Xenopus tropicalis: one gene and its partner. The protein of the gene in region 2 purifies or fractionates together with the protein of the main gene of each other region. This does not show direct contact. Links are inferred from orthologs where the notes say so. Each region holds a gene or a part of one and is shown on either strand. Other genes may lie near its edges.

Region 1 (3,825 bases), on a different chromosome or scaffold from region 2:
TACTAACTTGGATTAACATTCTCTATAAACATGTTCTACTCAGACATGTTGAGTCTCCAGCACCAATGAAAAGCACTAAATGCAAGTAGTAAGCATGATTAAGGGACAGCCTAGGAAATGTTATTGTTAATGTTACTTTTTAATAATGATGTTTGATTTCCATCCCTTGCCTATTCATCATCCAGTCTCTCATTCAAACTGCTGTTTGGTTGTTGGGGGAAATTGGACCCTAGCAACCAGATTTTTACTTGTTGAATATATAATTAAATCAAACTAAGTCTACATCAGCGTTTTTCAACCACTGTTCCGCGGCACACTAGTGTGCCGCGAGATGTTGCCTGGTGTGCCGTAGGCAGGGCACCAATGTACTAGGGGGGCACTGCTCTTGGCACCAATGTACTAGGGGGGCACTGCTGCTGGGCACCAATGTACTAGGGTGGCACTGCTGCTGGGCACCAGTGTACTAGGGGGGCACTGCTCTTGGCACCAATGTACTGGGGGGCACTGCTGCTGGGCACCAATGTACTAGCGGGGCACTGCTCTTGGCACCAATGTACTAGGGGGGCACTGCTGCTGGGCACCAATGTACTAGGGGGGCACTGCTCTTGGCACCAATGTACTAGGGGGGCACTGCTGCTGGGCACCAATGTACTAGGGGGGCACTGCTGCTGGGCACAGAGTTAAATTTTTTAACATTTTCTAATGGTGGTGTGCCTTGTGATTTTTTTCATGAAACAAGTGTGCCTTTGCCCAAAAAAGGTTGAAAAACACTGGTCTACATCATACTAAAAACACAGGAGGGAAGGGGGTCATTTATAAAAAAATTGGTGAATTTGCATCTAGGCAGAAAGCCATGGCAAGTTGATTAATTACCTGTAGCTGGCTACAGGTAATTAAACGCTAATCATTGATTGGCTGACATATATTACTGCTCCACTGTTTGAAGTTTGTGGAATGATGGGAGATGTAGTTTAGTAACATGCAACGCAGGGTAGGTATAGGTATATATGTTCAGGTAGTTGTAATTAGTAGAAAATATTATACTGTCATTCGTACTTTTACCAAAGAAACTTTCATTTGTACAGCTGTCTTTACGCCTCTTTCTACTAGACCTTATAACTGGCTAGACAAAATGTTTTATATTTTCACTGAAGTGGAATGTATTTTTATCAAAGCAAAATTTCAGAAAACATCATTACCTTTCAAATGCCTCCCTTTGTTTTTGACCCTTGTCAACAAGAATAGCCACTTTCCATTTTCTAAAAGCCCCTTTAACACCAGTTCTTGTCAGGTGTTCACGCCATCTTTTAGGTGCAGATTGCATCTGGGGTGAATAAGGGGAGTGTCTTTCAATTCTGTAACCCCACTCATATATTGTTTCGTCAAGCCATCTGCCTCTCTGTACGCTGTTAATTACGTAGTCTTTAATCAGAACCCACTTCCCTGAGAAACAAACAAAATGTGAGCCAAAACATAAGAAAAAAAAAACAACAACAAAAAAAAAAACCTTTAGGTAAAAAACGATGAAAATATTACCTATTTATAAATTAAGTTACCTGCTGAACAAGCTGCAAGCCACTTTTCACTTCGGCATGGGTTTTTTGCGATGAGATGTGTACAGTTTTCAAATTTCTACAGTATCAGAAAAAAGATAAATATGTATCTGTCATTGATCTATCTGTCTGAAAAACTATTAGCTTGTCAAAACAGGAAATGTACAGTTTTTTTTAGAAATGCGTTATTGTATTGATTTCCTAAACAAGTATTACTATTAATTAAACATTAACCTATAATAATTATGTCTCCATTGTATTGTGGATGCAGGGATAATAGGTGAAACTGCGGCAACTCTACATTTTGTGTGACTTTAGGAATCTGTTTGATCTATGGTGTCAACCTTTGGGTAGGGTCTTAATGAAAGATAAGTATATTTGCCACTGTAAGTCAATAAATCACTTTTGGGCACTTTTTCAAAATAAATCAAGTGTGCTGCTTCTCTTTCATTAAGACTATGGGGGGCATTTACTAACGTTTGTATTTTTTTTCACGATTATTTGTTGTTTTTTTTTTAACTTTTTGTGTAAAAAACATGTAGAAATCAATTGGAGTTGTCCTAGGCAGATTGAATCAATTTTGTTTCCAATTTGTGCTTTAAGAAGTTTCCTGGTTGTTTATTTTTTTCATCTTTAAGTACACGAAGATTCATGAAAAACTGTAAAATCATGGTTTTTGTACAGAGTGTGGCTGAGGGTGAGACCATCTGCCAGGAGATTAAAGCTCAATCAAAAGAGGACCTTGAAACATGGCAATTACCCTAAACATTCTAGCTGAAGAATTCTGTAAAGGCCAAGCCAAAGCTCAGATCTATAGCACATGGAAATGCTGTGTCATACAAACACTCGAGCATCAGAAAGCCAGATGGGCAAGTCTGTTCTAATCAATGCAACATTGCCTTCATACCAAAAAAACATGCATGATAATACAAATGTATGATTACCTCAGTGTCAATAAATATACAATCAAGTTTAAACAGCAGCTCAACAAGAGATTCTTTTTCTTTGTCCCTGAATCCCGTGAACTGAATAATACGTTTCCTTGAAGTTACTTCCATCTGCAAATTAAATAACGCATTGTAAATTAAACACAGACTTACATTTACAGTTTTTTTTCCCTAACAGAGTTGATAATTTGTTCTTGAAATATATATCAGTTGTATCCACATAGTCAGAGTTGCAAACAAGAACAATGATACAAAGGGTTACAACCAAGGTACCGGACACCCCAAAAACCTGTGGACTCATGGGAAATAAAAAATAAATTTATTGAAATCAAACTAAGAAAACGACAACATATTTTAATATCAAACACGTATAAATGTATTAAATACAGATTACGGAGATGGGGTTCATTAGATTAAAACAGGTCATTCCCTTATTATATAAAAAATTACTGTTGCTGGCCAATAACATAAAACAATAAATAAATAAGATAAACATTCAGTTAATTACCAGTAGTTAAAGAGATTGAATATTGCATAAATGTTTGTCGCAAGCATACAAATTAACCAATTATAAATTCTCAGTCCATAAAGAGGGGCTTTAATATTTACTTGAAGATCATTGAAGTCAAAATGCCCACCCAAAAACTGTTTTATTTGCATAATGAAAGAAAAGGTAATTCTATGCAACTTTACAGAATACAGGTATAGGAACTGTTATTCAGAATGCTCGGGACCTGGGGCTTTCTATATAAGGGATCTTTCTGTAATTTGGATCTCCATACCTCAAGTCTACTAAAAAATCATTTAAATGTCATTTAAACCCAATAGGCTTGTTTAGCCCCCAATAAGGATTACCGTATATACTCGAGTATAAGCCGATCCGAATATAAGCAGAGGTACCTAATTTTACCTAAGAAAACTGGAAAAACTTATTGACTCGAGTATAAGCCTAGGCATCCATTTCTTTTAACACACCTGCACACTAGCTTGTGTCCGAGTAGTAAGGGCAGCGCCGTATTACCTATCCAATACCTATACGAGTTAAATTGACAATTGCATGTGACTGACTTGTTCCTCTTGCTGCCTGGCTATATATGATATAGTGACTTTGGCAAGTAGTAAATGAATCATACCTTGCATTTGGCGTGCCGTATTCCCTTTCAAACTGCCCATCGGTTTGAGGGAGGAAAGTAATTAAAATCTAAATTCCATAACTATTTCTGAATGCTTCTCCCCCAATATCAGCACACTCTAATGCATTAAAAGCATTAAAGGAAGCAAGTTGTCTAAAATACAATAAGCCAATGACATTTACCTGCATCCCC
Region 2 (3,842 bases):
TTTTAAGTTGAGCAAATAAAGATATTATTTTTATTGGAAGACTGGCAGCTATTCTTAATTTTTTTTTTTATTTTCACACCTGCCCAATCCCAAAACTGATTCGCAGGCCTCCATACATAAACAGAAAATCATATGAAGATTTGATCTGTAAATGTATTGCCAGCTTTAATTTCACCCAATTTGCTTTACTGGCTCATGGCCAGCACCATTATGTTAAGCAGCGAGTGCCTTGGAAAACACTAGATCCTTTGAGTCCAAGATCCATTTCTGTTGACTACTCCATGGAAAAGAATTGCCACCTGTATAACACCAGGATGCATTTCTTTACATTGCTGCTGTCAAGTATAAATCCCATTTACAATGTAAGAGAATCCAGCCAATCAACCTATTACTAAAATGTTTATCCCACCAGAGGTGCAGGCCAACAAAACCTGCATTACTGCACAGTTCAAATTTTTGAAACCCCACCCGGACCAGTTACCCAATCTGCTAGCACCATTAAACTGGGATTGCTGTTCCTGCAAACCAGAGGTGTCATAATTAAAGGTGGACAAGGTGGGAAAACAAAACAGTAAATAAGAACTGTTTAAAGAACTTGCCCCCCATGGAATGCTGTGCCCTGGAGCCCACTACCAGTGCAGTTGGCAAGGCAAGGGTACACCAAAGCACAAAATGAGCAACTTTCACAATCAGCAAGTTTCCTGGTTCACTCTTGTCTTTAACACTGCATTGTACAACAAGCATATTGAGCATTCCATGAATGCATAGGGAGAAGCATCTAAGTGCAGCGTTCCCTGCACCAGGAACCAATTTTCGGTGCAGGAGGCCATACTAAGGCACACACGGGCATAGTGTACACACGGGCAGAGTGCCCAGGCCTAGACAATATTCATGTCGACTGATCAAAAATCATAGCCAAGCACATATTTAGTAAGCCAGGAAACTCGCTCAATATGTTGTTTGCTGCACTCCAGCATGGCTTGACAGCACCACAGTGGGGGAACTATCCTTCAAAAAATACTACCGTTTTCCTCATCTAGATGTGGGCTCTGTTAGCATTCATCTCTGGTGGGGGAAACAAAATGTTTGTGACAGGTGCCCTTTAATAGGCCTTGACTGTGGTAGAGCCAAATTCTGTTACATTGTTTAATGTGAGAATCAAAAACTCAGAACAGGACAGACCGACACTGCGTACAATGTTAAAGGAACAGTAACACCAAAAAATGAAAGTGTATAAAAGTAACTAAAATATAATGTGCTGCTGCCCTGCACTGGTAAAAGTTGTGTGTTTACCTCAGAAAGTCTACTATAATTTATATAAATAAGCTGCTATGTAGCCATGGGGGCAGCCATTCAAAGGAGAAAAGGTACAGGCACATAGCAGATAACAGATAAAACTATTGTATCCTACAGAGCTTATCTGTTATCTGCTATGTGCCTGTGCCTTTTCTCCTTTTTTCCAGCTTGAATGGCTGCCCCCGTGGCTACACAGCAGCTTATTATATAAACTATAGTAGTGTTACTGTAGCAAACACCCCAGTTTTACCAGTGCAGGGCAACAGTGCATTATATTTTTATTACTTGAAAGCTCTTTCATTTTTTGGTGTTACTGTTCCTTTAAAGGAAAAAGAAAGTCAAAGTCACTTGGGGGTGCCAAAATGTTAGGCACCCCCAAGTGACTTTGACCACCTACCTGGTGCCCCTGTGAGAAGAGAACAGCACCAGCCCGGGGTAGCTGCCGGCGCTTGCTTCTTCCTGATTCGCTGCGCGCGCATGCGCAGTAGAGTAAAAAGCCGAACTTAACCCTTAACGGCTTTTCACTCTACTGCGCATGCGCCCACCGCTGGCATTCCAGCAACGGAAGCCGGAAGCCGGAAGAAGGAAGCGATGAGCTACAGGTGCCCCGGGCTGGTGCTGTTTTCTCCTAACAGGGGCACCAGCCCGGGGTATGAGGTAAGCAGTTAAAGTCACTTGGGGGTGCCTAACATTTTGGCACCCCCAAGTGATTTTGCCTTTCGTTTCCCTTTAAGCAATATATCGCAAAGTTGCTTCGAATTTTCTTTCTTTCCTTAGGCATGATTGTATTTATCGGTTTATGTCCCCTTTCCTACTGTGATTTGCAGTTGCCTTGCACTAGGAGGCCAAATGGAGCTACAGAAATAATAAATCTGCGCCTCCCAACAATGACTCCCCCCCCCCCAGGAAACATAAACATGTTGTGTAGCAGCTGGGCGGCCATATAAATCACTGTGCCAGAGGGAAGGAAGTGGGGGGCATTGAAGGGGACAAGTGCAAATACATTAGGGATGCCACACTGCTGCCTGACAACTGTTGCTAAAGGGAAACTCCACTCCAGATTGTATACAACTTTCCAATACACCTCCATCCAATTGGCTTTAGAGTTATTTGTGATTGGTTTTAAAAGCAATATCTGTGTGCATTCTCTGCACTCCTAGTTCGTATATACAATACATATAATAACTCAGGGTTACACAGTACAGTATATATACATGCTGCAGCCAGGGCAGCTGTACAGAAGCCGCTGAGTGCAGGCAGGCGGGACTTCCTGTGAGGCACAATGACTGACAAACCCTATCAGTACGCGGCACTGGCCACTAGTACCTTACCTGCACGGGTTGTTTGCCCTTTGCCTTAGATCCCGGTTCTGGTGTGGTTGCCATGGAAGCCGAATTACAGCGACCCAAACCCGAGCTACCCCAAATTTCCCGCGCTGCTCTCAACGTCACGTGATCGTGCGCAAAGCATGTCGGGAAAGGTAGTTCAAGCTAGTTGTAGGAGGAACTACAGCACTAAGGTATATGCCAAAGCGGTGTGTGGATGGGCTTAAAGCAGGCGAATTCGCCCTGTGTCCTGCAATAAAATCTTAACATTTTTAAAGGTCCCCCAAATCCAAAGAAATATACGATGTGATACAGCAGTAGCATGCCTCCCAACATTTGAAAAATGAAAAGAGGGACAAAAAGATTTGGCGCGCGCAGCAAGGCAATTTTTTGATCACGCCCCCTTTTGTGGCCACGCCCCAATTACCACACTCCATTTTAAAAAAATACCCCTTTTATATAGATCAAATGGCGGGCGCAGACGAAAATGTGCTATACCCTCATACTGAACGACCTAAGGAAAACAATATAGCAACTCCTACATTAAAATACAAGTATAGAGAGAAGGCAGTCAGTTATAAGTGAGTTATAACTAAGTACCAGTTTTGCCCCCCCATACACAGTACCCCCATACACAGTAGCCCCCCCATACACAGTAGCCCCCCATACACAGTACCCCCCAATACACAGTAGTCTCCCATACACAGTGCCCCCATACACAGTGCCCCCTATACAAAGTAGCCCCCTATACACAGTAGCCCCCTATACACAGTAACCCCCAATACACAGTGCCCCTATAAACAGTAGCCCCTAATACACAGTACCCCCAATACACAGTGTCCCCTTATCACAGTAGCCCCCCATTCACAGTACCTCCCATAGGCGCAGCCTTCGTCTGCGGCTTCGTTATGCTTCTCCTTGTGCAGCGCGACAGGCCCTTTTATAAGGTTGCGCCCCGTGCGTAATGACGTCACACCCACAGGCGCAACCTTATAAAAGGGCCTGTCGCGCTGCACAAGGAGAGGCATAACGAAGCCGCAGAAGGAGCAATGCGGGACATTCATGGAACTATTCGGGACAGCGGGATGCGCCATAAAAAGCGGGACTGTCCCGCGAAAAGCGGGACAGTTGGGGGGTATGCAGTAGTTAACTTCATGCTCTTTTACAAATATAAATAAATGCAATTTTGAGTGTATGCTCCTCACTTCAGATACCTCGTGT

What was found.
Region 1: the proteins of rad18 (region 2) and slf1 purify together in Homo sapiens (affinity purification with mass spectrometry; 4 studies listed by BioGRID and IntAct, with this or other methods). This does not show direct contact. The link is inferred for Xenopus tropicalis from reciprocal best matches to the Homo sapiens genes RAD18 and SLF1.

What each region holds. Positions count from the first base shown.
Region 1 is NC_030677.2:177,668,637-177,672,461, forward strand, and holds part of slf1 (SMC5-SMC6 complex localization factor protein 1), read right to left. Parts: intron 2,612-3,825; coding exon 2,498-2,611; intron 1,633-2,497; coding exon 1,557-1,632; intron 1,444-1,556; coding exon 1,200-1,443; intron 1-1,199. UniProt on the Homo sapiens protein: Plays a role in the DNA damage response (DDR) pathway by regulating postreplication repair of UV-damaged DNA and genomic stability maintenance.
Region 2 is NC_030680.2:131,548,927-131,552,768, forward strand, and holds the start of rad18 (E3 ubiquitin-protein ligase RAD18), read right to left. Parts: upstream 2,805-3,842; 5' UTR 2,682-2,804; coding exon 2,628-2,681; intron 1-2,627. UniProt on the Homo sapiens protein: E3 ubiquitin-protein ligase involved in postreplication repair of UV-damaged DNA. Postreplication repair functions in gap-filling of a daughter strand on replication of damaged DNA.